Diceros bicornis minor: one gene and its partners. The protein of the gene in region 4 interacts with the protein of the main gene of each other region in a pairwise test. Links are inferred from orthologs where the notes say so. Each region holds a gene or a part of one and is shown on either strand. Other genes may lie near its edges. The genes, in order: RAB25, RAB11B, BNIP2 and MYO5B.

Region 1 (7,318 bases), on a different chromosome or scaffold from region 4:
TGTGTGGAGAGGTTAGCAGAGTGTGTGAATGCGGAGAGAGATGGCAGGAGGTCTGGGGGGGAGGGTGCACATTTCTGGACTAGGGAGTATGAGAACATTGAGCACGTTTCTATGTATATGAGCTGGGAGGACAAGTGGGGGGTTTGGTGTGTGTGTTTGCATGGGAGCAGAGGCGCGAATAGAAGTGTGAGTGAGGAGAAAGTTGGCAAGTGACACGTGTGTGGGTGGGGGGAAGGTATGCAGGCGGTGTGTAAGAAGTTAGGATCCAGTTGTCCCCAAGGAGGGGCAGTCTTGCATATTAAGACCATAGGGCTGGGTGTTGGACCAGCCGTGTGTCCTTTAGCAAGTTATTTAACTTCTCTGACTTTCTTCTTCATATGAGAAATGGGAATAACAATAGTGACTATCTTATGAGTTGTTGCAAAAAGTAAATGAGATATTGCCCAGGATATAGTGAGTGTGCAAAACTGTTACTGCTGGGATTGCTGTTGGTAGGCCAGAGCTTTTACTTTCAGGTTTTCAGGGACAAGGATCCATCAGAGGGGCCGTGAAGAGCCTTTGGGCTGGTGGGCAGCATCCAGGGCCCAGCCTTACCGTGGGTGAGCTGGGGGCTGGGGGAGAGTGTAGGGGGCTGATTAAGTATGACCCATAAATTGCACCGACACTGAGCTGAGCATCCAGGGTTAGAGGAGGCCGCCCAGAGTGGTTCTGGAAAAGCAGGCTGGTGCCCTGGGAGCCACATATTCTGGGTTCTGATCCCCACTCAGCCTCTGACTAGCCATGTGACCTTGAACAAGTGGCTCACCTTTTCTGGGTCTCAGTTTCCTTGTGTATAAAATCTATAAAGGCCCCCTCCAACTTTAAAAATTCCTTATTTGTGTAGGACAGGAAAGAGCTGGGAGGCTTATGGGTGTGTGTGTGTGTGCTCCTGCCTCTCCCCTACTGGGAACTTCATCCCCATCTCATCCCTCTGGTGGGTGGGCTCCTAGCCCTACCCTCAGGCCCAACAGCTTCTCAGGGCAAGGATTTTGGAGTCAGACAGACTTGGGTTTGAATACTGACTTTGTGACCTTTTGTAAGCTACTTACTCTGTCTCATCCTCGTCTGTAAAATGCAGATACTAATTGTTAACACTGATTGAGTGCCAACTACGTGCCAGGCACCATCCTAAAGGCTTTACCCATATTAATTCATTTAATCCTCACAACAATGGCATGAAGCAAGTACCGTTATCATTTTCATCCCATTTTTACAGACAAGGGAACGGAGGGGGTTAAATGACTTGCACAAGGTAACACAGCTAGCCAGCTAGCGTGGTAAACGCAGAGGTGTGCTGCCTGGATCCGGCTTCAAGGAAGGACTGGCCCCCAGCTGCAGACAGTGCAGTTGGCAGACAGCCTCCAGCTGTCAGCTCCTTCAGCATGTGCTCCTGGTGCAGAGAGCAGCTGTACCTGAGGTCATGCCTTTCCCGGGCAGCCCCCCACCTCCAGTGCCGGAGCAAGGTAAGGGGATCACAGAGCTCGCTGCCCTTGGCCGAGGCTTTGTGATTCTGCGCTACAGTTTGCTTCCTGCCCAGTCCTGTTTCCTCCCCCTTCCTTTCACTGGTGTTGATCCATAATAAACATCTTATACCCCAAACTTCTTGTCAGTGTCTGCTTTGGAGACCCCAACCTGCAGTACTGAGTAAGCGGCAGAGCTGAGATCTGAACTCAGTCTGGCTCCTGACCGTGATGCTATAATGACCATTATGCTTTCAAAATGGAAGATAACTTTTGGGGGTTGTTATGGTGATTAATGAGCTAGCGGCTGGCACATGCTAAGGGCTCAATAAACAGTAGTTACTAGTGGTCGTACTGCCCCAGACTATTGCTAGCCCTTCCCTGGCCTCCCCTTCCTGGGAAGGATGCCGGGACTACAGGTTCCCCAACCCCAGATGCCTGAGAGTCCCAGCCAGAGAGAGGGTGGGGCTGAGGCTGGGAGAGGCGTGGGGTGGGGTGGCAGGACAGGGAATCATAGCTCCGCCAATCCACCCTGCCCAGAAGGAGGCGTGGAGGTGGGGGTGGCATGGGGAGTGGGGAACAATAGAGAGGCCAAGCACAGGGGCTGAGATAAAGGAGCAGGAAAGAAACACGCACACTTCCAGGGACAGCCAAGTGGAACCCAGGGCCTGGTATTTGGGCCCAAGGGGTCTGCCAAGGGACAGCAGACAAGACCATGGCCCTAGGAGTCCTCTGGATCCTATTAGACCCTGCTCCCAAATCGTTACAGCTTCCCTATGTCTTCACTCAGCCCTATGATGAAATAGATCTCTCCTTTCCTATACATCTTCCCAGGAAGATGACTTTCTTTCTTTTAAGTCTGCTTGTTTCCCCTTTTCTCAGGAGGGAAGTCCTCTCTGAAGTCTGATCTCCATCTCTTGTGCTGCAGTGGCTGACTATTCCTAGGGATTTGGGCTTCCTTTAGGCATGGGGCAGAGGAGCCTAACTCGACACTATTAAGGAGTGATCACCATCATTATTTACAACAGTAGAGCATTCTAGCAGCTCCAGGACTTTCGCCCCTGTAATCAGACCCTCCCTCACCTCCTGCAGCTTTCTTTCTTATCCAAAGGAATGATGAGCCCTGGGGGGTCCTGCTAAGAGATAAAAAAACAGGAAGGGGCCGTCTCTGGTTTGTTGGTCTCTTTCTGGGTCTCTCTCAGGCTTCCTCTCTCTTTATGGACCCCAACTCACCCTTGAAGACAAAGTTATAATCTTCCTCGTTTCCGTTCCCCATCTTGGCTCCGCATGGAGGGTACAAGTGTCTTCAAGGGCAGAGATGACGGGTCTATGCGTTAGTTCAACGCCCTCAACCCTCAGTTCTCAAGAGACCTGGATCCGCCCCTCCTCTCATTGGAGGTAAAGAAACTTCTGCAAGCCAGAGGGATTGGGGGCCGACTCGAGGCTAGGCAGAGCCTAGGGAGGCTCAGCTCTGGCAGGTGGGGGTGCTGCAAGGAAGCTGAGAGGACGGAAGCTGAGAACAGGAAGAGCAGGGCGACTGGAGACCTGGGGCCCAGGTGGGTGGAGAGACGATGACGTCAGACAGGTTAGACAGGTTGGGTGTGTGCTCTCAGCCTGGGCTCCTGCAAGCAGGTGAGCAGGCTCCAGAGGGTGACAGTGGGGGAAGCTGGGACAAGGACAGGGCCTTCAGAGAGCCAGCTGAGGACTGAGTACGCATGTCTAGGCTCCTGAGACCTGTGGCCAGGGGGCCCAGCCACCAGCGAGTGAGAAATAGCCTCTCAGGGAGCAAAAATCTACTTGACCGCCTGCTTTTCCTTCAGAGCCCTTGCAGGGGTTATCTGGGGGCACCATGGCAAGGGCTGTTGGGGCAAGGGGCTGGGGCTGATGGGATGCCAGTCACCCTGCCGTGCAGAGGTCTGGGAGCTGCATCTCCCATACAGCAACTTCTACCCCTCCCTGACAGCCCAGGGCCTGGGACGGGCAGTATGTCTCACCCTGGGTGGAGCTGGAATTTGCAACCTACCTCTTCTCTGGGATGGGTCCCTTCCTACAGCACTGGGTAGCTCCCCATCCAGACCTGCTCTTAAGGACACTGGGTATGGGGAGACCTGGGGCAGAAACAGCCAGATGGGGTGAAGAGTCTGAGTGGAGGGGCAGAATCTGGAGGGGAAGCCCTCTGAGAGGTCTTCTGGGTTTCTTTTACTCCCTCTCCAGGACCTGAAGCCTCACAACAAAGCCATCCTGTCTGCAAAGGGCTGCAAGATCTGGAGAAGGTCTATGTGAGCATGTGAATGCCTGGCAGAAGAGGAAAGGAGTGGCCCCTTGTAGGCAGCTAGGGGACACTCTCCCAACCCCAAGAGTAGAAAAGCTCCCCCACCCCTCAAAATCAGGATGAAGGACACTTAATTCCCAGGGCCCTATATTCTCTTTGTTCAACATGACCTTCCACCAGCCCCTTGCACCTCTGAGCTCACGCCCAAGGTTTTGCCATCAGGTGGGTGAGATTCTGCTCTGAGTGGCAGGGACCAGGGGAGGTCACACCACGGGAGAGGCCAAGGGAGTGAGGCATCACTGCCCAAAACCATTGGGTTGTTGGAGGTCCTGGTGAAGGAATGGGTGGAAATCCATCCTTGCAGCACATGAAGAATCCTATAAGAAATCCCTGCTCCTTTCTATCTCCTCTGATTGCTCCCACTCAAGAAAGCAGCCAGGACACAAGACAGGAGCTGAAGTTTATTCTTGGAAAAAACAAAGTCCCACCCTCCCTCCACAGTCCAGGAAGGTTTCCCCAGGGGGCCCTGCCCCTCCCAGTGGTCATCTCTCTTTTCTGACTCCAGCTTCCACCAACGCCCACTATGATGCCGCTACTTGGGTGAGGGGATCCTCCAGGTACTGCACCAAGGCCTGCGCCTGCAGAAGGGAGAGCAGAATCAGTCCCACACATGGCCTGCCCCTAGAGGGATCCCAAATCCAGGTCTACACCCAATGCTGAGCACCCCCTCCCAGCCCCCGCTTGCTCCTGGGAGTTAGCCCACACCAGACATGGATTGGGTGACAGGTGGCCTGCAGGAAGGTGGTGGGGATGGGAACAGACAGTGATGGAGCACAAAGGCTGGGCCCAGGACTGCAGAGGGATGGGCATGTACACACCTTGGCCTTGAGCATTCCGAAGCCAACAGTCTCCTTGGCATACATACACAGCAGAAGGTTGGCCACTCGGGTAATGGCTACACGGCCCTCCTGGTGGGGACAATATCATGGGATGTGATGTTCGGCTTGGCACCTTAGCCCCCTCTTTCCCCAAGGGCTCCTCTTGAGAGAGACTCTATCTTCCTCCCATGCCCTGGGCACACGCAGGAGCTTCAGCAGTGGGGCTTTGGCCACAGCCCTGGACATGGGGTCCTGAACCCCAATTCCAGCCTCAGCACAGGCACCTACTAACCAAGTTACGCTGGGAAACTCAATCTCCCAGGGACTCCGTTTCTCTTTCTGTAACCCCAACCTCACCCCAGCTGGTGAGGGCGCCAGTACACATGAAGGAGTCTTGTATCTGCAAAGGGCTGTCCAAATGGGTGAGATTATTATTATGGGTTCACCCCAAAACAATGTAAGGGGCTTGAGAGCAGTAACCCAACTTATGCTTCTCCTCTTTTCCCATGGTAATGCTTTTCAAACTGCAGGTCTGACCCCAGGGTTAGGAGATCAATTAAGAAGGTGATCAGCATTAAAAGAAAAAAGAAGAGAAATGAAGTGCATTGCATGTTGTAAGCCGAGACCTTTTTCGCAAAACTTTTGTTTTAGTGGGTATATATGTGCACTGGGCTCTGACTTAAAATGTACTTCCTTTGGCCCAGTTGTGATCAAAGCGTTTGAAAGCTATTGCCCTAAAGCACCAGCTCTAAGCTAGGCACCCAGGAGGAGTCATCAGTTGAACTGAAATGACATCCTTGGTTGCACAGGGGGTAAGGATGAGGTAGGCAGCTGAGTTACAGTGGAATTCCTTTCTGGAGAGTTCATTCTTGGGGCCTTTTTATTTTTATTTATTTATTTATTATTTTTTTGTGTGAGGAAGATCAGCCCTGAGCTAACATCTGTCAATCCTCCTCTTTTTGCTGAGGAAGACTGGCCCTGGGCTAACATCTGTGCCTGTCTTCCTCCACTTTATATGGGACACCGCCACAGCATGGCTTAACAAGCAGTGCCTCGGTGCGCGCTCGGATCCGAACCCCAGCCGCCAGCAGCGGAGCACGCGCACTTAACCACTAAGCCACGGGGCCGGCCCCTGTTGAGGCCTTTTTAATTTGGTTCAGCAAATTTTCACTAGGTATCCAGCGAGTGCTGGGAACCAGGTGCTACACTCTCTGCCTGTCTGGACTCTGCTCCTACTAACCTCCCCATGCCACTCTGATGCCACTCCAGCCACATCAACCTTGTTGATCCTTGACCAGGCAGCATTCTGCCTCAAGGCCTTTGCATCTGCTGTTCTCTCTGTCAGAAACGTTCTTCCTCCAGACAGCCACATGGCTTGCCAACTTCCTTCAGATCTGTGATGAAATGTCACCTTTGCAATGAGATTGTCCCTGACACACATCCGCCTCTATCTCACTTCCTTGCTTTATTTTTCTCCACAGCATTTTCAATACCTAACATACTACTTTTTTAACTTATATACATATTTTACTTATTTTGTAAAACATATTTACACACTTATTTTACAAAACATACATATTTTACTTATTTTAAAGCATGTCTAAGACTAAGTTTCATTATAAATAGTTTTTGTCTGTCCTGTTTGCTACTTTTCTCCAAGTCCCGAGAACATTGCAGGGACCTAAAAATTTGTTGACTGAACAGATACAAAGGTGAGTGAGACAGTTTCTGTTTCCAAGAAGTTCACAGCCTAATGGCCACTTCCCCTTTCTGGACTTCATCTGCTTTCTCTGTAAACTGAAGGGACTGGACTAGTGTCTGGAGACTGTGCCATTCTTCCCTGAGTCTGTGAATCTGGGATGACAACACTTTGTGTCTGTACATCATCCTACGGTTTATATCCACTCTTTCATTTGATCTTCACAACAACCCTGTGTGTATTGTTTCCCCCTTAGAGGTGTGCTAAGGAAGCTCAGAGAGGTTAAGTGACTTACCCAAGGTTCCACAAATGTTAGTGGCTGGCTGAGACCAGAACCCCAGTCAGACCTCGGGTCCAGGGCTCCTCCCTCACCACCACTTGATGCATAGGGTCCTGCCTATTATAAATGCTGCTGCAGACCAACTCTTAGTAATCTTCCAGAGATCCTGTCCCTGCCCCTCCAACCATCCAGGATGGGGTCCGGGTCGCCCCCTGGGAATCCCCTTCGAGGACAGAGGAAGTAGCTCCTCTCTCCATACCATGCAGTCCATGAGAATGAATTTGAGATTGTCTTCATTAAACGCTTGGTTCCCGTTCCGGTCATAGGCGGCCCAGATGTTACTGGCGATGGCTGCGGTAACCCGGGCGTCCGTATCCCCGTAACCGGAGTAGGCCAGAAGAGATCCCTCGTTATTCAGCAGCCTGGCAAGGGACGGGGAGGGATAGTGACATGCTCAAGATCGGAGTAAAATGCCTGAATTTCCGTCCCAACTCCCGCCACCGGCGCTTCCAGAAAGCAAGGGTCTGTGCTGAGGGTGTCCTGGGATATGCCCCGAGCACCCACCACGTCGGTTTCTCTTTTCGAGAGGAGCCATCCCGGCCTGTTGCCCTGCTCCTTCTGCCACCTCCTCCCTTCCCGGAGATCCTACCCTACCCCTCCCTTGGAGAGCCGCGCGCCGCCCCACTCCAG
Region 2 (8,002 bases), on a different chromosome or scaffold from region 4:
TAAAGCAGCTCACGCCTAGGCCCCGGGACTTACGCAGTTTTTAAAAATGTAAACATCTCTCCACTGCACATGGAGAACTAGTATCCCCTGCCATAAATAAGTTAGTGAAACTAAAGCCAATGAAAATAAAACAATGCCAGTGCTTTAAAATTCCAGCTAGAAAACTGATCTACGGTGAAAAAAAAAAAACAAACCAAAAAACCCTGAATAGTGGCAGCCCCTGGAAGGGTGGGATGGGAATTGACTGGGAAGGGACATGAGGCAACTTTCCCTCCACAGAGGTGAGTTACTCTGGCATATGCCTTTGTCTTGGTGAATGTACATTTCAGATCTGTGCATATTATTACATGTAAATTTCACCTTCCAAACAAAAACTAAGAAAACAGCCATAAACGATCCTTGAACTCTAGGTAATGATATGCATGCTGAAGTGTTTAGAGGTGAAGTGGACTAACGTCCTTGTTTTATTCGTAATTTTTTTCCAGCTTTATTGAGGTATAATTGCCATATAACATTGTGTAAGTTTAAGGCGTATAAAGTGTTGATTTGATACACTTATATATTGCAAAATGATGACCGCCATAGGGAGCTAACACCTCCATCACGTCGCAGAATTACCATTTCTTTTTCATAGTGAGAACATTGAAGATCTACTCTCTTAGCAACCCTCAAGTATACGATACAGTATTGTTAACTATAATCACCATGCTGTGCATGAGACGCCCCAAATCTTCGACTTTCTTTGAAATGCATCAAAAAATAGGATGATAGATGGGTGGATAGAGATGGATATGCAATAAAGCAAAATATTAATAGTGGACTCTAGGTGTTGCGGATATGAGTATTCTCTACAATTCTTTCCATTTTTCTAAAAGTCCCCAAAATTTCACAACAAAATGCGGGGAAGAAAATTCTAACTAGATCTTGTGGCTTTCTGAAGGCTCTGCTTCTGAGCTCTGTTTAAAGAGGGAGATAAGCATTAGAAAATTGTTCAAGAGATATGAGCAAAAGAGAGTGAGCCTTTCTGTTTGAGGATAATAAAGGATTTCAAGAATTGCAAAAAGGTAAGACTTTCTCAGCATGTGGTTCAACGTTATTTAATGCACTGCCCAGAATAATCATCCATATCATATGGCCTGGAATAATGTGATGCTTTGTCTCCGGGACACATGTTTGGGAAAAACAGCATCTGTCCAAGCCCTGAGCCCCAACTGCTGTTTTCATAGGAGAACCTATCTTTCCAGTATTTCTTGTAAGTGTTCCTTGGAGAGGTCGTGGGGGCTTCTTGCACTAGAGGAAAACCTCCATGCTTTTCCTGTTCCGTGACTCTTCCTGGAAGGTGCTGGGGACACAATGGCTTCCCTGGGGCCCTGGCTGAGTGTAGGTGATGAACTTCTTGGCACTGGGGACAGGCCACTAAAGTTCTGTGGCCTCAGTTCCTGCATCTGCAAAATGGGGATGGTTCTGCTACCCTGCCCTCCCACCCCCACCCCCCACCCCCCACTTCTGTTCTGCTGGTGCTGCAAGGATTTCCTGGAGCATTAAGTGAAAAGCGCTCAGAACAGTGTCTCACTCATGGTGAGCTCACAATATAAACATTAGCCGTCCTTACTAATACTGTTATGATGAGCCATGCTCGGGGTGGGGGCGGGGAGCATGACCCAGACAGGAGAAAAGACTTCACGGTGGATGTGGCTTTTGAGTCAGTTTTCAAAGGAAGAAAATTTTACAAAGATGAGGAGGGAGGGTGGTATTCCAGAAAGAGGTCACTGTGAGAGCCAAAGCCTAGTGGCCTCGGTGGGAAATGCAGCTCCTGTCTGGGGAGCCAGCGCACAGCCCCACCTAGCTGCAGCGAGGGGCAGAAGGCTGGGGAGGGGAACGGCAGGGCGGGTGGGGAAGGGATCTGTGCTGGAATGTGCAGGGCCTCAAGGCAACTGCCCAGGAGTTTGCTGACAAAGGCTGGGAGGCTCCTCCCTGGTCTGGATTTCAGCCTTGCCTTTTCGCCTAATCTCTTTTCTGGCCCCTGGACCCCGCTCTCCAGCCACCATGACCTTCTGGCTGTTCAGACACATCAAGCTCTTTCTCTCACTTGCTTTTGTGTCTGCCTGAAATGCTGTTCCTAATACCTCTTCCCCCTCCTGCGGACTCAGTGCAAATGCCACCTCCTCCAGGATGCCTTCCCTGGCTTCCTAGTGAAGGGGAGGAAGACTATCCTTTACCCACTCTGGGTCCTTTCTGGCTGGGCTACAAATTAAATTGACATGAGACCGCATAGCAGGAGAAAATCCAACAAAGCTTTATAACGTACACATGGGAGAAACCAGGGAAACTGAGTTTCTCAACAAATGGCGGAGGTTTTCACCTTAAATAGCATATTCAGGTAGACAAAGGAGGATGTTGGGGGGGTGGGGAGTCAGCTATGGGAGATTACCAGAAAGCACAATAAACAAGAGTATGCACTGATAAGAGTTTCTAGAGATAAGGTCATCCCCACTTCTTCCTGGTACAGAGAGGGAGATATCTTTACAAATGGACATTTCCCTTCAACAGAACTTTGATAAGAATGGGCTTAGCAAGGACCCTCCCACTCTATCCATACACAGATTTAAATTCATTTAGGCAGTTAGTGGGAAAGGGGTGAGGTCAAAGTTTCTTTCAGAGAAAATAATCAAGGTGAAGAGACATATTTTGAGGGGGCCAATTCCGATCTCCCACTAGCTAAGGAGCTAAGGAGAATAACCCAGGTTATTCTCTTCATTGCATGCCTCCCATTCTGCAATTATCCTGCACATGTTTTTTACTTGCTTCTTATCTGACTGCTCCCAAGAGACTCTCAGCTCCATGAGGGCTGGCACTTTGCATCCCCAGCACCTAGAGTGCTGCCTGACCTCATAGATGCTCAGTAAATGGACGTCCTAAAGGAAGGACTAAAAGATTTTTAAACAGGGGAGCGAGACAACCTGACATGTTTTAAAAACCCCCCTCTGACTGCTGTGGGAAGAACAGACTGTGAAGTGAGGGCAGAGCAGGGGGATCTGGGAGCGGGAAATGCACAGGTCCAGGTGTCACTGACTACGGACCTCGAGAAAGTCAAAGGTGGGTTTGGAAGCAATTAACTGGTTTTTTTTTTTTTTTTTTGCTGAGGAAGATTAGCCCTGGGCCAACATCCGTGCCCATCTTCCTCTACTTTATATGGGACACTGCCACAGCATGGCTTGACAAGCAGTGCGTCGTCAGTGCACGCCTGGGATCTGAACCTGTGAACCTGGCCTCGAAGTGGAGCGCCCACGCTTACCGGCTGCGCCACCAGGATGACCCAGCAATTAACTGTTTTTCCAAGTTGTTTCTTTTCCTTTTGTATATTAAGGAGATGTAACCACCAGCCATCCTGAAACTGACCAAGGGAGGCACTCAAGGGAGATATAACCACCAGCCATGCTGAAACTGACCAAGCCTCACCACAAGAGCTACGCCCACGACCTTTGCCTTATTTTTAATGCAAAAATCTCTCCAGGTGGAGCTTAGGCCTCATGATGTGGAAGCATGTTCTCCAACTGAGCCTGTGCAATCGAATACCTGCCTCTCCCTTTTGAATATTCATTCCCCAACCAAATAAAAGTTCCTGCTTTCCTTGGTTCCCAGACGCCCTGACTTTGGAAATGATTCTTCATGGTCTCCTATTTGCTGCAAATACACTTTACTTTGTGAGACAACTTCCACTGGTGTAGTTTTATTTAACTTACCAGGAGGGGAGGCCACTTGGTTCGGTGTCACAGGGAGTGATGATGGGCGCCAGGATCAGGGTGGTGGCAGTGGAGGGAGTGAGACGTGGTCAGAAATTTGGGAGGGAGAAGAGACACAATAAGGGGAAGGGGCAGAGGGTGGTAAACAATGAGAAAGAGAGAGGAGCCCCTGACTTGTGGCTTTGATGATGGAGGGGGTGGGGGATGGAGACACAGGAGGAAGAGTGGATATGCGGAAAGAGGACAAACAAGTGTCGGGATGCCTGATGGACATCCCAGCGATGAAGTCCAGGAGGCAGTAATAATAATAATTATTGTAACTAGCACATGAGCTCCATGCCTAAGTTGTTCATCACTGGTCAGATATTTATTGAGCACAGGGACACAGCAGTGGTTGTGGCACACACAGTCCCTGCCCTCATGGGGCTGATGTTCTGTTGATGGAGACAAACGAAACAGATTAATGGGTCAAGAAAGAAACACATACTTTAATGTCAGGTAGCGATAAGTCCTGGGGGAGAGGGTGGAATAAAACAGGGTAAGTGGACAGACGAGGGGAGGAGACCATGTTGGAGAGTCTGACGCCCAGTAAGGATTTATAAATATTTGTTAATCAAAGACTTAAAGACAGAATGTGGACGGCTGATTTAGTGTGCGTTTAGGGACAAGATCTAGTTATCTTCCAAAGATTCCACGAGGTTTCTTCCCTGTTATACAGATGAAGGAAACTGATGCAGAACGGTATCGCAATGAGACACCAATACAGTGATGGAAAGTGCAACCGAGAGAGGAGAGGTGACCTCTAATGGAAAAGACCTCGGGGAGAGGCCCCCCAGACAGGGTCATTTATGGGGCGGGGAGGCAGAGCAGCGTGCACAGACCTATGACGTCATCGGGACGTTACATAGCGTAACATCACCTGGACGTAGCGCTATTTCCCTCCCCGGACAGGTCCTCAGGCAGTCGGGTACGGTCTGAATTAAGCCTCTCATTGGCTACTCGCTCCGTCAATCCGTTTCATTCTTCCCTTCTTCCGTCCCGCCTTCCTAAACCCGCCTTTGATAGGCTGGCGCAGCTGTCACTTCAGAAAGGGCCGCATTCCTTCCGCCTTTCTCCAGGAGACCAGGAGCGCGGAGGGCGGATCCTAGCGGCGCCCACCCCTGGGACTCTGCTTCCACCTCTGATTGGCTGCCCTGGGTGCCGGTCGCTACGCCACCCGCCGCAGATTAGCCATCCGGCCGCCGCTCTGCGCGGCGCCGGTTCCGCCCCCGTCGGGTGTTTGTGGTGGGGCTGCGGAGTCGCCGATCCCGCCGGAAGCACCAGGACAATGGGGACCCGGGACGACGAGTACGACTACCTATTCAAAGGTGTGGCCGGTGGGGCACAGACGGGCGAGGGCGCGGCGGCGAGGCGGCGGGCAGGCGGGCCGGCGGGCCGAGGTTGCGTTCCAGGCCGCTGGGCCCAGGCCGGAGCCCGGGGCTTGGGGCCCGGCGGGTCAGGCAGCCGGGAAGGCCGGGGTGGGCCAGGCTCAGTCAGCTTCGGGCCGGGGTGCGCGACCGTGCGGAGCGGGCGGCCCAGGGAGCCCTGGGGGCCCTGGATGAGCCGGGGCGGAGCTGGGGCACAGAGGGGGTGGGGCCCGGAGCGGTGGGAGAGGCCGTTAGGGGCGGGGCCTCAGGAGGGGCGGGGCCGCCCCAGCATTCGGCGGGCCGGGCTGGGTGGAAAGCTCCCTTCGTGGTGGGGGCGGGGCCTTGGAGGCGGGGGCTAGGCGGTAGTGGGCGTGTCCAAGAACTTGCTGGGGCCGGGCGCTTCACGGGGTGGGAGGGGCCAGACCTGATTGGTGGCAGCGCGTCTGGGGGCGGGGCCTTGGAAGGGCGAGGCGGACAATGGGGGTTGAAATGTGTGGGGGGGAGCCTGGATTGGGGTGCGGACCCCGAATTGCGTGGAGGGGCACGTGGGGGGACTGTGTGTGCTGGACCCGGGCCCCGTGTTTAACAGCAACAATTATATCTCTTAATTATTAGAACATTAACAGCACTGTCCAAATACCTGCGTTTTTCTAAGCACTTTATACTCATGTAGTCATTGAAATCCTCAAAACCATGTGAGGTCGGTATTATCCAGCCTTTCTCTTTATGGACCTGGAAACTGGCTCAGAGAGACGAGTGTTAAGTGTTGGAGCAGGACTTGAGCCTAGATCAGCTGTGGGCTTTACCACTTAGGAAGTGTGGCGGGGGGCGGGGGGGGGTGGCGCGGCTTGCAGCCAGGATCTGGGGCCGAGGTTGTCAGACTGCCTCCCCCAACACGTGCGCGCTGATGGCTGGGCCTCACCAACCCTGCCCCGGGGGTAGAGGGCTCTAAGAGCCTCAAGTAAGGCTGAGGCAGATCAGGCAGCCATTGCCCGCCTGGGGCCAGTGGGGAGCTCATTCACCCTGCCCCTCAAGCTGGGAGATTCCCTCCTGATTGGGGGGTCACTGGCTTCACAGTGCCTCTGTGCCAAGCTGGGCTTCGGTCAGGGCCTGTGCTGGGCTCCCTGGCTGACAGTGGCCACCCTTGAGGCTAACCCCTGGGCCCACGTGGGGCACCTTGGCCCTGCTGCCTGCGGGTCTGTCTCCCATGCCAGCTGTTGGCATCTTCCCCTCGATGGGGGAGCCTGGCCAGCCCTGAGAGTGTGGTCTGTGTCTGTCACTGCCCATTGTGTCTGTAGTATTATCTAGCATGTGGGGGCCTGGGGACCTTGGGGACCTGGACATTGGGGTGGAATGCTCCGTACCTGGGATATCCATGTGGCGAAAGGCTTCTGGGCAGAGGGGGTGCCCATGCAAAGGCCCAGGGTCGTCACACAGCTCCATGGGCTTGGCGAGATGCGTGCAGGCTGCTATGTCGCTGGCCAGTGAGGCTGTGTGGTCGGCAGGCATCAGGCCAAAGCCCTGGTGCTGCCGGCTGAGCCTTGGGGTCTCACCTAAGAGCGAGGGAAGCTCTATCAGGGCTCTGGGGACTGGTGACAGGTGGACCGGACTCCAGTCCTGCTGCACCTGGTGCCTGTCTTTGCTCTGCCCGCCCTGAGACATCTGCTCCCCAGGTCCGGGCTGGGCACTCACCCGGATGTGGCACTGCCAGGGCAGAAGGCATTCCCAGTGGCCACCTCCAGGTTTCTGTGGTCATTCCCCGCTTGTTATTTTCAACTGTTTGCTGTTATAAATAACCCAGGTCCAAGCGTTTGCACAAGTCATCTTTTGCTCTTTGGGTTATTTCCTTGAAGTTTGTTCCCAGAAGTACAGTTACTGGGTCAGGGGCAATGGAGCGGTCGTGTGCTTCCCGGGATGCATCTCCAGGGTCCGCTTCCTGGAAACACTGATCTGGCTCCTGTGGCAACTGGTACGTGGTGGGGGCGGGGGGTGCCTGCGCCACTGCCCTCCCCCTCTGGCCTCCTTTTTCTGAGTCGAGCAGGTGCCTTCCAGTCGGGGGAGCCCTTCAGGAGCGGAGAGGGCAGCGATCCTCTGCCCCCTGCCCTGTGCGCAGCCTCCCTCAGGCTTCAGTCACTTTCCCCTGGCCCTGCCCTGGGCACAGAGGGGCCACCCCTCTCCCTTGGGACACTGGCTGCCCCCTGTCCTGCCCTCCTTCAGTGCCTTGTGTTATTTGGCAGCCACATCATATCTTGGATCCCCTGACCTGCTCGGCTAAGGCCAACAGACCCCCGTTGGTGCTGTGTGCTGTTTATTTTCCTCCTTGCACATTCTGCCCTCCCCTAGGAATGAGGTTGTTTATTTGTAGCTAATTATAGATCCTTACATTTATCCTGCTAACATTTTATAACCTGGGACCATCTTCCCAGCCTGCCCATTGATCCCCAGGGGTCGCCCCTGACCTCTCCTCTGATGGACTGGCTGTGGGGTCCACAGTGGGTGCAGCTGTGTCCCCAGGGGCCACCGAGGCCTTCCCGGAGCCCCCAGGCACTCACCTGGCCTGTGAGGACGTGGCTGGTGTGGGAAGCTGCCGTGGTGGCCCAGGGCCCTCTCCTCTGGATTGGCCCCTGCCCCATCTAGGAGTCCTTCTGGGGAGGTGCCAGGAGCGAGTGGCAGCTGGCTCCCGGGAAACAGGCCAGCCCCAGTGCTCGGCCCCTCTGCTGGGTGCTCCTGAGGCAGCCTCCCCTCTCTAGCCCGGGCAGGGCCCCCCACCCAGCCCCCCTGGTCCAGGATCTGAGCACACCATCTTCCCCATTGCCAGTGGAGGCTCTGCCTGTGCCTTGACTTTGGGCCCCT
Region 3 (7,605 bases), on a different chromosome or scaffold from region 4:
CCTCACATCTGTTAGAATGGTTATTATCAAAAAGACAAGAAATAAGTGTTGGCAAAGATGTGGAGAAAAGGGACCCCTTGTGCACTGTTGTTGGGGAATGTAAATTGGTGGAGCCACTATGGAAAACAGTAGGGAGGGTCCTCAAAAAATTAAAAATAGAACTACCATATGAATTCCACTTCTGGGTATTTATCTGAAGGAAGTGAAATCACTATCTCAAAAAGATATATGCACCCCCAAGTTCACTGCAGCATTATTTACAACAGCAACTTAAGTACCCTTTGATGCGTGAATGGCTAAAGAAAATGTGATACACACACGCACACACACAAATATTATTTGGCCATAAAAAAGAATGATATCTTGCCATTTGTGACAACATGGATGGACCTTAACAGCATTATGCTAAGTGAACTAAGTCAAGACAGAGAAAAGCAAATACCATATGATCTCTCTTACATGTGGAATCAAAAATAAAAAAAAAGAAAGCTGATAGATAGAGAACAGATTGGTAGTTGCCAAAGGCAGAGGGTGGGTGAAATGGATGAAGGGGGTCAAAAGGTACAAACTTCCACTTGAAAAATAAGTCCTGGGGATGTAATGTACAGCATGGTGACTATAGTTAAGAATACTATATTACATATTTGAAAGTTGCTAACAGAGTAAACTTTAAAAGTTCTCATCACAAAATATTTATAACTATGTGTGATGGATGTTAACTAGACTTATTGTGGTGATCACTTCACAATATATACAAATATCGAATTATGTGGTATACCTGAAACTAATGTTATGTCAATTATACCTCAATTAAAAAAAAAGAATGAAATGAGATACTTCATCAGGAATGTTAACACAAAATTCAAGAAAAATTACAATGGTGCCAACTTTTCTTAAAATTGTGAAAATAAAGCAAAGGATAATTATGTCTCCTATAAAAGATACATTTATTAAATTATCAGTATGCAGAACATGCCGGAGATGCTCTGAGATCTTTAAAAAGATTAAAGTCTAATAACTGATTTCTAACACCTTGCTGTAGAGTTATAAATATTAGTTGTAATATAAAATTATAATTTTGGAATATTACTATCATCATATTATACTAGTATTCTGTTTTATAGGATGTAAGCTTAAAAAGACTTTTTTTTTTTTTGAGGAAGATTGGCCCTGCACTAACATCTGTTGCCAATCTTCCTTTTTTTTTTCCCTCCCCAAAGCCCTAGTACATAGCTGCGTATCACAGTTGTAGAGGTGTGGCTCTTCTATGCGGGACGCTGCCTCAGCATGGCTTGATGAGCAGTGAGCAGGTCCCCGCCCGGAATCCGAACCCGCAAACCCCGGGCCGCTGAAGTGGAAAGCGTGAACCCAACCGCTATGCCACCGGGCGGGCCCCAAAAAGACATCTTTCAATCCACTGTCAGCCAAGGTTAATTTATCGCATCTGGCTACATACACGTCCTTTCTTAGAAGCCTTCCTCCTGCTGCTCCATCTACCAGCACTACTCCAGATGGAATGAACAGAACCACGTTCCCAAAGAGTGCTTTTCACATTTACTAGCCACTTGCACATTCATCATCTCGTATGTTCCAACCATCATGTGAGATATAAAGTTGTGGTGTTATTATCCCCATTTTATCTTATATATGAGGCAAATGACACTACATTCTGGTTCCTAGATTAGACCTAGACTGTTTCTAATACAGCACACTCTCCAGTTCACTGGCAACTTTATACAGAATAAGCTTGTAATGTCAGATTTGGTTACACTCAGCTTCAGAGGTCCTGTACCGCCTAAAGATTACAGTAGCACTGACTTATGATGATCTAGTTCAAGTTCCATGTTTGCAGAAGTGGACCTGTCATACTTCCTGTCTAAGCCCAACAATATTAGGCTGCAGTAGAAGAGATTACGAAGACTATGAATAGTTTCGAGAAAATGTAAAATGACAAGAAGGGAGAAGGATGTGCAAGATCATCAGAAAAATAGTCTTCAGGGTAACTAAATCGGGTAACTTCAGTTATAATTTTGAGGAAACATGTCCATCGACAAATCGCAAAATTCTTATAAAATTTTAAAAGAAGAACGCGTTTAATTAAAAAAAATAAGTAATTTACCTTTAAGAGAAATAGAGGTCCTAATCAGAAAAGACAAGGATAAAGAAAGCACTAAAATGCAATCACACACTTCATTCAACTAACTATATGGAAGGCGCTATGACTACCTGGATGAACACGAGAAACGCTGTGCTCTCAAAGAGCTCCCGGACCAGGCAGGCAAGGGAAGTTTAAAGCGACTAACAGACCCAAATTAACGTCTGGTTTAACATGAGTTGATCTAGTGGATCTCCAGTGGCATCATATGTGTCCAGCAAACCCAAACCATTTCAGCAAAGGGCCGTGTCTGAATCCACCCAGGAACTCGGCTTTTCACGTAGGAAGGTCTGTTAAAGCCCTGATTACAAATGCTGCTTCCGTGTCTGTTCCCCGAGGGGGACGCGGCACATCAGACGTCCGTTTCTTTGTTCTGCACCAGGACCGACGCTGGTCATAAACACGGGACCAGTGTGGCCCCGTCACCGCACCCAGACCGGAGTGTGGGACGGAGGGCCGACAGGGGGGCAGGTTCCATCCCGAGCACAACCACCACAAACGGAAAAGGGGTGGGGGGCAACGACGGCAACTGCAAACCGGAGCCAAGCCAAGGGCGGGGGCCCCAGCTGGGCGGGGATCCGGGAAGCGCCTCCCGGGCAGGTTCCACGGCGCCCCCTACAGCGGATAACCCTCTGGGCTTCCTCTCTCGGGCCGGCCGGGGGCACGCGCCCCTCAGACGGCCGCCCCCAGGGCCGTTCGCAGCCCAGACCCGCCGTGCCCAGTCGTCCCGGGCCGCACTCACCCCGCAGGAAGCCTTGGCCCCCTCGTCTTCTTCGCCCCTCCAGGCCGGCGACGTGGGGCTGACGGCCAGGTCGCAGAAGGTAGCGCCGAGCGGAGCCCGCTCCCCTCGGACGGCAGCAGAGACCCGGGCCCAGTTTCCTGGCCGCAGCGGCAGCGGCTGACCCGGATGCAGAGAGCAGCCCCGACGGAAATGACAGCATCGCGACCTTCTCCGGGCGCGGCGGCCGGCGGAGGCGTGGCGTCTTCTTGAAGCCCCGGAGTCCCTCCCCTCGTCCCCTCAGCTGGCGCAGTCTATCGCTCGCGCATGCGCCCACGCGGCCGCCCACACGCTCCCGCCGGGCGGGCGGGGCGCGGAGACGCCTTGGCGGCGCCTCTGAGGCTGCAGGTGCTTCCTTTCTCGCTGGGAGTGGATCCTCAAGTCTCAAAGAGCCATTTTTGTATTCTTTATGTTAGCTTTATTGATCATTACGATAATTGTATGTTATGGATGAAAATAGGGGAGGAAAAATATCTGAGGCCACATTTTGGGGAATTAAACCTCAGAAGAGTTTGGTAAAATGCTCGAGGGTGAACAGCTTTACAACAGTGCTTCTCAAACTATATATATACTATATACGATACAAACTATATACAATAAGTAGGGATTGATCAATTTATTGTTTTTTTAAATTTCCAATTAGTTGTGGGCCATGCTTTGGTCAGAAAAAATTAAAATATCAGACATATTTTATCGTTAGAGTCAGCAGCCATAAAATTACCTGTTAAATTGGTATAAAGGTTTCTAAACGCTTCTCTCAATTTCTGTACTTGTCTCGTGGACCAGTAACGAACAGGTCTCTGAAACGCCCGGGTCTGTGGATCATACTTTTGAGTAGCAAGACTGCTCTACAGCTTCAAGGAAATAAGATTAGTTTGGAGAACATCATAATCCCTCTCAGAAATCCCACTAAATCCCTACAAAGGTGTAGCAGTCAACTATTTGGGTAAGGCATTAGGGAATGGTGGGGCTTGAGGGGAACTGAAAAGCTTAAAAATTTAAATCATTGACCCAAAAATGCAGCTCCCAGGTTTACATAGCTTTAGCAACATTTACTCACTATTGGTGGGGGGTTAAACTCTCTATATCTCATCTATAAAATGGGAAAGATTAATACCTACTTGATAGGTTTTTTTGAGATAAAGTCCTATGTGTTAGAACAGTGCTTTGTGTAGTGTAATCGTATATAAGTGTTAGGTATTATTATTTTCCCCCATTCTGGAAATTTTTTAAAAAGCTAGCAGAGAAAACAACCAAAGCTGATCAACAGAGCCTTAGCTAAACAACTTCTTGGGCTATGCTCCTGTAAGCAATTTCATCTTTAGTTACGGATTTTTTGTAGTTCCGTATTTTGCTTATTTCAGTCTTGCAATGAGTAGTATTCCCCACAGGGTGGCAGAAAATCATTTGAAGTCATATGCAGTTATGTGATTTTTGTAATCTTTAGTTTCTTTTTAATTTCAGTAACTTTATTGTTTAGTAAGCTTGGTCAGTGTTTGCTTTGGTTTTGAGTAAGCCATACTAGTATTTGTCTTTTTATCCCCATCTCATGAATTATCCATACTTACTGTGAAACGTTAGAAACTACAGATAAGGTAAAAAAGATAATCACACTTAATACATTTATGTATATCTTTGCAGATTTTTGTATACATATAACTGTATAAATAGCATATGTATGTTTTTATAAAAGTGAATTAATGTACCTAATAGTTTATAATCTAATTTTTTTCTTTTCATTTAAAAGTATATTATGAACTCCTTTTCAGGCCAATAAGTATATTTTAACACCATAATTTTTATTATGGATAATTTATGTACTAACTACTTATTGAATATTTAGGTGGCTCCATTTTTTTGTTGTTAAAAACAACACTTCATAGAGTGTCCAAAAAGTCAGAAACATAGGACTAACTTGTTTTCAAACAATATACTAATTACATTTTAAAATAATATGCTCAGTATATTTTTTAGGTGAAATACCTCTAATCAGTGGGTCTAATTGTTAATCTGAAAAAAAGTATAAAAAGACACTATTTTCCCTGTGTTTCCAGACTTTTGGGATAATCTTAAGTGTATTTTTACCAATACTAGTTTGTTCTATATGCCTCCTTGAGTAGGCAGATATTTAGACTCTTAAAAATTGGAAAATAATTGAGAGGGAAAGAAAGTGTGGCTTCTAGACGCTAAGTAGAAGGTATCATTTGGAAAGTGATACGTTAGCTCAGAGCCACCATCAACCTGTTCCTTTGTGGTTTCTGGCTTTGGTGTTATATTTAAATAGGCCCTCCTCACCCTAAAATTATACAATATATAGTTGTTAATATTTTCATCTTAAAAAATATGAACATTAAATCTAACTGGAATTTTGTATATATGCTTATGATATGAAGTAGGGAATCTGATTTTTACTAAACTGACAAAATAGTGTGCCTAACATTATTTATTGAATAATCCATTAATTCTTGAACTCAACTAGGACTCAAATGAATGTTTACCTTCAAAGTTGTCATCCTAGGTTACCCACTTAGTTCAAGTATCCATTCACAAACCTTTTGACAAACTGTTATATCCATTCACAAACCATCATTGGACAAACCCTTTATTGAACAATATTGTGAGTCAATACTATTGGGCCCTGAGGGTACAGATAAAAATGACACAGTGTCTGCCTTCAGGGAGCTCACAGACTAGTCAGATAAGGGGCAAGCAAAGACAGTAAGCAATCTGGTGGATTTACTTCCAAGGTGCAGCTAAATAGAAGGGAGCTAAACAGATTGGGGGGTGGGAGGTGAGGTCGATAAAGGAAGACTCTCTGAAGGAGGTGATCTCAAGCTTAGTAATAAGAGGAAGATCTTCCAAGCAGAGGGAATGGTATATGCAAATGCACAGAGGCATCTAGGAACTGCACATTGTTCATCGTGACTGGAGCACAAGCAGTGGGAACGTGAGTGAGGTGAATGGCCAGTAACAAAAATAAGTAGTCAAAGGCCAGATTAAAAAGGGATTTTTTTCATGCTAAGAATTTATTCAGAGCCAATATAATGCACGACATGGAAAAGCAATCAATTATTACTTTATAGTTGTGCTCCAAAAGAAGGGATTGAAACATGTCCTGCACCATGGCAGCATCAATATGATAAGTCCTAAAAGAACAACTTTGAGAAGGACGACACTCATTTGAATATATGCTTTAGTATGTGTGTTAAAATTATTCATGTTACTTTGTCATACTTTGTACATCAAAATAAAAGCACTCAGCCAAATAGACTTGAAGAGATGCTGAGTCTGCACCTGCTCCCCATTCCGCCCTCCAACCTTGGACCAGAGGTAAGATGAGAGATGATAAAGAAGACATTTGAGACAACGCTATGAAAATGTTTGTGTAAATTCAAATTTCAGAAGGCATAATGTACATTAGACTCTTGAATGCTGTTGCACTCTCCACTGCATAATTTTAGAGACAGATTGTTATTCTTACTTATGAGCATATAAATTCAGTGATGTTTGGCAGCTCACTCATAATTTTTGAAAAAATATGAAGTGTCTTTTACATGGGCTGAAGATGTCTCTGCTGGTTGAGCTTGAGGGTAAAACCGGATACAATTATATATTCATTTAATTATTCATAACTTGAGTCTGAAATGAATGTGTATATATTTTTCACTTATTCGCTTTAGAAAATTCTAAACTAAACCCAGCAGCAGTTTTGTCTTTGGCATGGTGACAAGTGTCTTTTCTACAATGAACCAGTAAAAGAAATTGTTCCAGAGAGAATTTGTGTTCCCTATTTCAGAAAATCCAGTTGGACTGCACATATATATTACACATCACCTTTGCGTGGTGCTTCCACATTCCACAGACTACACAGAGGGAAGCAGCAGCACACGTGTCTAGGAAATATTTCCATATGCAGAGTTAGGTTATGGCCATTCAAGGGGAAAACTAGGCTTATTTGCTGGAGAGTTTTAGTCAACAGGACTCTAAGAATTCAATTCATTCAGGGAAGTAGCTAGGTTATGGGTTGAAGTTGTGTGAGAACAAGAGTTCAGATCCTGACACAGTCCTGTTTTTTGAGGGAGGGAGGATACACATTTTATTCAACAGAAGTTAGGAAAGACTAGTACTGTCTTTGATTACTCATCAAAACTAATAGTGTGAACAAATCTTAGAGTCCACATTCAAGTCCTCTGTGAAGATGTTTCTGCAATGTCATAAAAAAATGGCAAATATGAGTTTAAAACTGAGGGTATACATTTTATAATGCAAAAGCATAAAATTTGGCAAAATCATAGCAACAAATAGATTGGAGATCATGGTTGTCATTTGGAAAGAAGATGATGGACAGAGGTCCCTCTACCCTGAATAGGGGTCATTCCAAAAAAAATCACTGCACTTATTAAACTCTTGCAGAAGTAGCAGACATAGTATCACCATACTTGGTTTATTGCTAAAATCAAGATTAATTTTGAAGAGGGAAGTAGATTTCACTCTTTCCTCTTTCCTTTAAGATGTGAAATGTTAATAGCAGTGTGACCATCTATATTTAGAAATATACAAATAAGTAATAGCTTCCAACTTGAAAAAAATCAGAGCTTGATTGATTGATGATGATGATGATGATGATGATTTTTACCGGTAATAATGCTTTTTTAATTCTTTCTGGGCTGGG
Region 4 (7,854 bases):
AAATTTCCATCCACTTATAAATGCTGCGGGCATAATGGATAATTATTTCCATCATGCATCATACATTAAAGTACGTGCCTGAATCCAGTGTTCATCACGTTAGAAAAGCCCACTAGCAGGTTAAAAATAAAAGGGAACACTGGCTATTCTGATAACACACTAAAATGAACAAATCATCTCCCAAGAAACGAAGCGAGTCTGAGTGACAGGCATTTCTCTGCATAATTTATGATTCATATGCATACGTACTGAGAATCCAGCCTAGCAAGTGGGGTGACAATGGTTAGGAAACAATGCAAACGATTCTCATAGTAAAGCGTTAACCGTGTTTAACTCTGCCAAAGAGAACAACAACAACATACATACACACACACACACACACACACACAGAGCTCAAAACAAATCTGGAAGCTATTGCATCGGCCACAGAAAATCTGAATTTCAGATTCAAAAACCTAAAAACAATTAAGAACTAGAAACTTATTAACAGAGCAAGGTGCAGTCCTCCAGCCCTAGGGAGAAATTCTAATACTGTTTTTGGATTAATTATGCCAAAACCCTCACACCAATGAAGCTACTTTTTTTTTTTTTTTTTTTGGTCTTGTGCATCCTTCCAAGGCCTTCCTCTGGTGAAAGTTTTGTCCCTATCTCTGTAAGTCCGGGAAAAGTACACTGAAACTTCTTTAGCTCGGACTCCCACTAATTCATCATTCCTAGTAATTAAGATGCAATGTACTCATTTCTAACTCAAAATCAAATTGAGTGTTTTCCCCTGAAAGAGTTCTGTCTTTAAAAGCAATCCAATATTAATTCTCGTTATTCAAAGTCAGGGCTTCAAAAATTAAGAGCTTATTCAATTGCCCAGGATTGTCACATAATACAACAATTAATTATGGTCTGATAAAGGGCTTTATGACACGTTGCAGGTGTAATCAGTTGAGTCACTCATCGCACTTGGGAGTACGAGTAGCATTTTCGTGCACTTCAATGTTACGAAGCTTCAGTGCTTTAAACTCTCCAGCACATGTTTTTCCCTGCCTCGCTGGTTTCCAGCCTCCGGGAGAAGTTCCTGCCTGATAAGCCGCTTCAGGAAGACACCTGAAAGCTGGAGCTCTGAGGGCTCTTCCCACGACTCCCAAGGGTAAACGGGGTGCGGTGCTTTTCCAAAGCCAGGAGTGCCAGAGATTTCACCCCCTGGCCGGCACCTACACCCTTTCCTCTCCTCTCCTCTCCCAGAATCTGTAGTCCATCCGTCACAGCTGCAGGGGACCTTAGCGGGGGCGGAGTGTGTGTCAGATGCAGCTGCGACCCCGCCCCCAGCCAGGTTACAGCCTCCACGGCCACCTCATGTCAGCCCATCTAAGCCTTGGTCCCCTCCAGGAGGAAGGAGGGATTAGAAAATTCCTCTAGGGAAAAGGAGTGGCCAGCCCGCCCAGCCGAAGGGCTCGACCACCCGCGGGAGCAGCTTCGAGCAATCGCCAGGTGAGCATGCGGAAGTAGCTCTTCCTCCCCCGCCCAGACCTATCGGCCCAGGCATAACACACCCACACCCACTCGCGTGCACGCATCACACACACACACACACACACACACACACACACACACACACACACCTCTGCACAGAGACGCGCGTACAAGGCACCGTCAAACCTGTCCCAGCCACAGAGAAGACGACCAGGCAGATGAGGAGTCGAGACATCCGAAACTTTTTTTTTTTTTTTAAGGGGAGGGGGAGGGGGCTTAAAGGCCCCTGCCCCCCTCATCCCTGGAGCCAAGGTGAAACCCGAGGCGGCCCCGGCGGCTGCAGCGCGACCGCAGGCGCTCGGGGAAGCGGCGGCTGGTCCCTAACTTGAACCACAGCGACTGCCGCGGAAGCGGGGCGTCTCCGCCCGGCCGCACCTGTTCCCGACTCTGAGGACGGAGCCTCGCACATCCATTCTGACCTTGAGGGCACCCCGAAAATCCACACTCCACCCCGGGTCAGCATTACTCCGATGCCCTCCCTACAACAGATGAAGTCCCCGGCAGGTACCCACCCAGAGGGGCCGCCTCAAAACGCCCATCGCCGGCAAATGATGAATGCGCTTCCCTGGGATCTCCAGAGCTCCCCGGAGCGCCCCTCGCTTTCCCCAGTGCTTACCTCCCCCCTCACACCAGGTTGGGTCCCCTTTTCTCTCCCCCCCTCAAGTGCAAGAACACCCTCCCCAAGTTCAGCGTTCCCCCTCGTCGGCACGCAGGAGGAAAGGAAGCCTCAGAGGGGCGCCCTCGCAAGCTCACGCCGCAGAGCACCTGGGGTGGGGTCCAGCAGCGAATGGAGGGGGCGGCGGCGCGCAGGGCGCCACCGCGGGGGGCTGTCCCCACGCACCCGGCTCGGAGGTGGCGGGGACACCCCCGCGGTTCTGGGTCAGTGCGGGGCGCTCCTGGAACAACCAAACTTTCTCCGCCACCCGAAGTTCGGGGCGTGAGGAGGCGGCGAGGGGGAGTCGGAGCAGCACCTGCCGGCGCCGCAGGAGAAGGCGCCCCCGAGGGCCGCCGTGGCCCGAGCGCGCCGCGCGCAGCCCGCACTCACCTGGCTGTAGAGCTCGCTGACCGACATGACCCCGCGGGCCGGGCCTGGCCCGGGGCGCCGTGCCTGGCGGGCGGCACTCGCTCGTGCGCCGGGGGGCGGCGGGTCCGGGCTCCTCGCTGCCCCGGCGGCTCTCAGTCCCCGGCCGGCCCGCCTGGCGCCATCTTCCTGGGCTGCCCGGGAGTTTCTGTGTTTCTTGTCCTTTCCCCCCGACCTGCCCCGCCGGCTTCCTGGAGGCGCCGGGGCCGGCTCGCTCTCTGCCGGCGCGACCTTTACTCCCGCCGCGGCGGCGTAGCTGCGGCCGGGCCGGAGTTGCGGGCGGGGTGGGGGTGGGGGGGGGGGGAGGAGGCCGCGCGGCGCCGCTCCCCGCGCAGGTGTGGGAGGAGGTGCGGGAGCCAGGGAGGGGGAGAGGGCGGCGCTCGTCGGAGCTGGCAGCCGGGGCGCCGTCGCCGCCGCCTTTGAGCCCTGCGGGGCCGGGCTGGACGCTCCCTCCCGCGCCCCCGCCGCAGCGGGGTCCTTGGGGCCGGGGGCGGGGCCGGGCGAGGAGCCGGTGCCGGCCGCCCCCTGCTGGACGCCGGGCGCGCGCTGGGACAGGTGCGCCCCGGGGGCCCACACCTGCCGCGCCGCGCTCTGCCTGCACGCGGTCTGTGCCCCTGGGAGGCTGGGCAGGGATGTAGTGGAGACAAGAGAAAAAAAGGAGGGAAAGTAAGCCGGGGGGTAGGGGGGATAAAAAGATGCCTGTGACTGAAAGGCTCCCATATATTTTCCTCTGGATTTTACGTGGCTGCGTTCAATATTTTCATGATTAAAATTCAGTTATATCGTAGATTGTTATTAAGGTGATTTGGGTATACCAAAGATTGTCTCCGCCAAACTGAGCTCCCTGCGCTGAAATCCTGATCAGAAAGGTGGGAGTTGTAACTCGTCACTTCGTTTGCCCGGTTCACCCACAGCTTCCAGCTAGGCTCCCAGCTACCTCCATCAGACTTTCATGCTTTGCCGGGGGTCTCACATTTTCTCCCCTCTCTCCCACATGCACACTCTCAGTCGCTCTGCCGCTCCCTGCCACGTTTATTTTTGTCCCCTCTGCTAGTGCCCCTTGGCTGTCTTCAGCAACTACAGTCCCTCTTCTACTTCCAGCAAAAAGTAGAAATTTCAGCCAAAAAGGAAAATAGCTGACAGGAGTTGGTGGAAGGAGAGGAGGGGACACGGCTTTGGTTTTCCGAAGGTGGCTTTTGTACGTGAATGAGGAATGGCATCTGAGGGTGGTCCTCAGCCAGTGTGTCTGTCTATACCTGCTGGAGGGATTGTCCTGGAGCCCCATTCCCTGGAAGGTGATTCTTAAAACTCATCCCATTTAAGACCTTCCCACCTGGAATGCAAGATCCCCATTTAATTCACCGTGGGACCCCTCTCAACTGTGCCTCCTCAATGAGGTTCACCTGGGGAGCTTTAACTGACCCAAGGAAGGGGCCCCACCCTCAAGAATTCTGGATGATTGGTGAAGGGTGGAAATTATCTGAATTTTTTAAGCTCCTCCATAGTCTAAAGGATTGTACTTCTGGGTTGACAAATGCAGTAACCAAAGCTTGGGCTACTCTCCTTGGATCTGAAATGGACTTCATCATGTCACTGTCAAGAGCAGAAAGGAAATGGTTCCATCATTTCTCACTCAAAAATCTCTGCATCCATTCCTTCCCTATATTCTAGTATTTCTCTAAGCATGGCCCTCAGGCTATCAGCATCACCTGGGAACTTATTAGATATACAAATTATCAGTCATCACCGCAGACTTACTGAATCCGCAACGCTGGGGGAGGGGCCCAGCACTCAATGTTTTCATACCTCGGTAGAGAATTCTCTGCTCTCCAGCCAAGAAAGCCCACTTGCTATGGTGCCATCCACATCTGTGCTCCAGATCCCCTTTGCTTCTCCGCCACCACGCTCCATCAGTGGTCCCATCTCTCTGCCAGCAACTCGCTCTCTCTCAACTGGCTCTTGACTTCTCTGTCCTCCTTTCCTGCTAAACTTCTTGAGGTGTAGCTGGTACCAGCTGGCTCCACTTGCTCACACCCAGTTCCTCCCAGGTGGTTCTAGTGACAGCCAAGGTTAAGAGTTGGTGCTTTAATTCCTTCCTAAGTGGTTCCAGCTCAGCCCCGTTCTATTGAAATCGCCTTCTCCCTCTGGGGCGCTAATTGATTCTCCCTGCTATGTTAAATCATCTCCTCCCTTGGCATCTATCATTTTCCTCCTCTTATTTTCCCCAGCCTCTCTAACCACACCTTCTCTGTGACCTTTTCTAGCTCTGTTTCCTCTTCCTGGTTCCTGAATAAAACTGTGGCCCATTTCCCACACCTCATCTTTCTTCTCATCCACACCCCCTATTTTACCTCTTACCAATATGTTAACTCTGAAATCTAATTCTAACCCTCGTTTAGACCCACCTTTCCACCTGCCAGATAGGCAATGCTAGCAATCCCACTAGGACCTTGAACCAACCTGAAACTCATTTCTTTCCACCCTTCCTCCCAACCCCCAACCTGGTTCCAACTTTCTGGCTTCCATCATACCTGGCACAAATTAAAGGCTCAATTCATGCTGACTGAACTGAATCACATCCCTAAGGAGAATATTACTCTTGGCCAGAGCCTTGTGCATTTCTAATCCCACAATCAGATAAGGTCTTTCCCTCCTTTGAATAATAATAAAGACGTTTTAAAACTTACTTTGTGCCAGGAAACAAGAGCTTTGCTTCTGTGATCTTGTTTGAGCCTCAGAGCAACCCTATAAAATAGGTTTGAATAATAATTCTATTTCATAGATAAGCAAAGTGAGTCTGGGTAAGGAACATTCTAGATCAGAGAGCTGGTATTCAACTAAACTCTCATTCTAGAGTCTAAGCAGTTGCTTTTTACACCAGTGGTTCTTGAACGTTAGTGTGTATCAGGACTAAGGGGATACAGGGGATGCTAACTCAGTTGGTCCACGTGTGGTCCACGAGTCTGCATGTGTAATAAGTAGCCAGGTGGTGTAGGGGTCACACTTGAAGAAACATTGCTCTGTGCCCCATGGCTTCTCAAAGTAAGAGAAGACCTCCATTGGGACTACCTTGGTCTCCCTCCTGACAGGTGGGGGTTTCCATCACACACAAGTGGGGAAGAACTTTGAACTTCCGAAGCATTCACTTAACCTCTCTTAAGGAGCTCCCCTTACTGTACCCGGCATTACATGTATACCAATATCCTTCTCTCCTCCTCACCCCTAGGCTGGAAGGCAAGAACCACACCTGACCTGTATTTGTATCCTCTGCACTTCCCATCATGCCTTGCACAAAGGACTCAGGAAACAGTAGGTGAATTGTGTGTGGGCTGGACCTAGTGATTTGCTTCTAACAAATAAAATACAGCAAAGGTGATGGGCTGTCACTTCCATGATTAGGTTGTGAAAGACTGTGACTTTTATCTTGCTGGAAATCTCTCTGGCTCTTCTTATATGCTTGTTCTGATGAAGCAAGCTGTCATATTGTGAGCTGCCCTATAGAGAAACCCATGTGGAAGGAACTAAGGGTGGCCCTCGAGAAACTGAATTCTCCCAATAGCTAAGTGGGTGAACTCGGAAGCAGATGTTTCTCTAGTTAAGCCTTCAGACTCGACTTGAAGACCACAGCCCCAGCTGACACTTTGATTGCAGCCACATAATACACCCTGAAGCAGAGAATCCAGAAAAGCTGTGTCTAAATTAAAGAAACTGTGAGATGATAAAGTCTGTGACCCACAGAAACTGTGAGGTAATAAATGTGTGTTGTTTGAAACCACTCAGTTTGGGGGTAATTTGTTAGGCAGCAATAGGTGACTAATACAATCACACACAAAAAGGGCTCTGTGTGACTGGCTTCCTGGTAAGAACTTCATCCTAGCAATTTCTCTCCTCCCCTTCTTGGAAGGTTGGTTTCCCGTATGCCCCTACATGCTAAGGCATCATCGTCAAATGGGGTTTGTGGTTCCCTGGTGTGTGCCAAGACTCTTCAAGGAGTTGTTATTCCATAGATTGTTTTAAGGGAATCAGTTTCCAGATCCTAAATCTCCTTATTCATTCCTTCTAAACACTGATTTGCCAAAAAACAGCCCTGCAGTTAGGGGGGCTCATTCTCAGATCTCCCTCTGGAGCCTCCAGGACACCAAACAAAAGGACAGATAGAAACTTCAGTGTTGAGAAGGTGAGTGACTCTGATGAAGGAGCCGCACTCTGTGCAGGTTGGTGGTTTCCAATTCTGTTAACAAAATTGAAGGAGGACCTGATCCATTTGTCAGCTGACAGGTTATTTAAAATAATCTTTTCGTGGATCACTATGTGCTTTTGGCAAAGGAATTCAAATTGAGGGACGCTGTCCTAACAAAACTTCCTTTCCCATCTATTTGTTTATGTAAACAAATATAACACTTTTATCCATAACAAAAATAGGAATAGATTTTTAAAGTTGTATAAGACCATCTGTGATGATAATTCAATTCAGAATACTTGACCACTGGAAAATTTTTAAATAATTTATATACATATTTTTGTTATAGATAATGTTATAGGGTGGTTGTCAGAAGAGTTTCCAGTATAAAAAATGTAGGCTAAAATTCTGTAGGGAAAGTGGAATGGAATTTCAGGCTCAAGAAAAAAATGCATGTTTTAAAGAACTTGTGTATTTTTTTAAACGGGCAATGGAGGGTATCAAATTGCTATGGCAGTTAGAGTCCATTGGGTTCATTTAAAAGAGTGATGTAACCGTTTTATTTTAAGCTGACAATATGTACAATATACCCAAATTACATCTTTTTCAATTATTTAAACTTACGAAAACTTTTAGTTATTAACCTAAAAATGTGTGGAGACATACATGGTTTTTCAAAATTACTTTAAAGAGTTTGAGAGCAAAAAAGTCTGAAGCCCATGGAGCAGAGGGCAGCCACATCTATGACCTCCAAAATTAGGTCTTCATTAGGAATTCCGGATTGAGAATGGTATTAACAGCCTTGATGCTCTGGAACACTTTCACCTTTGTAGCTTACTCAGTGGGCATTTCTGAGTCTCTCTCTAGGCAATGTGGATTTGTTTTTCACCTGTTCCAAGTTAGCACCCAGGCTATGAGGGTTTAAGCAGTGACTTCTGTTACTATTTGTATGGGGGAGACCTTGACACAGACCTCAGCCTAGATTTCGCAAGGGCACTCCTCCCCGGGGTAGAGATGGCTGGTGATCAGGGTAGAAGCTCTAACACGTGAAGATGGCAGAAGATAATTG

Evidence for each region.
Region 1: the proteins of MYO5B (region 4) and RAB25 interact in binary tests that used the Homo sapiens proteins (3 or more experiments, as listed by UniProt). The link is inferred for Diceros bicornis minor from reciprocal best matches to the Homo sapiens genes MYO5B and RAB25.
Region 2: the proteins of MYO5B (region 4) and RAB11B interact in binary tests that used the Homo sapiens proteins (3 or more experiments, as listed by UniProt). The link is inferred for Diceros bicornis minor from reciprocal best matches to the Homo sapiens genes MYO5B and RAB11B.
Region 3: the proteins of MYO5B (region 4) and BNIP2 interact in binary tests that used the Homo sapiens proteins (3 or more experiments, as listed by UniProt). The two-hybrid records come from large-scale screens. The link is inferred for Diceros bicornis minor from reciprocal best matches to the Homo sapiens genes MYO5B and BNIP2.

The regions. Positions count from the first base shown.
Region 1 is NC_080743.1:59,706,980-59,714,297, reverse strand, and holds the start of RAB25 (ras-related protein Rab-25), read right to left. Parts: upstream 3,018-7,318; 5' UTR 2,776-3,017; coding exon 2,733-2,775; intron 1-2,732. Other genes in the region: ragulator complex protein LAMTOR2, read right to left, coding at 4,353-4,409, 4,650-4,739, 6,888-7,050. UniProt on the Homo sapiens protein: The small GTPases Rab are key regulators of intracellular membrane trafficking, from the formation of transport vesicles to their fusion with membranes.
Region 2 is NW_026691615.1:317,945-325,946, reverse strand, and holds the start of RAB11B (ras-related protein Rab-11B), read left to right. Parts: upstream 1-4,996; 5' UTR 4,997-5,070; coding exon 5,071-5,110; intron 5,111-8,002. UniProt on the Homo sapiens protein: The small GTPases Rab are key regulators of intracellular membrane trafficking, from the formation of transport vesicles to their fusion with membranes.
Region 3 is NC_080744.1:54,624,847-54,632,451, forward strand, and holds the start of BNIP2 (BCL2/adenovirus E1B 19 kDa protein-interacting protein 2), read right to left. Parts: upstream 3,011-7,605; 5' UTR 2,898-3,010; intron 1-2,897.
Region 4 is NC_080755.1:42,689,792-42,697,645, forward strand, and holds the start of MYO5B (unconventional myosin-Vb), read right to left. Parts: upstream 3,015-7,854; 5' UTR 2,597-3,014; coding exon 2,570-2,596; intron 1-2,569. UniProt on the Homo sapiens protein: May be involved in vesicular trafficking via its association with the CART complex. The CART complex is necessary for efficient transferrin receptor recycling but not for EGFR degradation.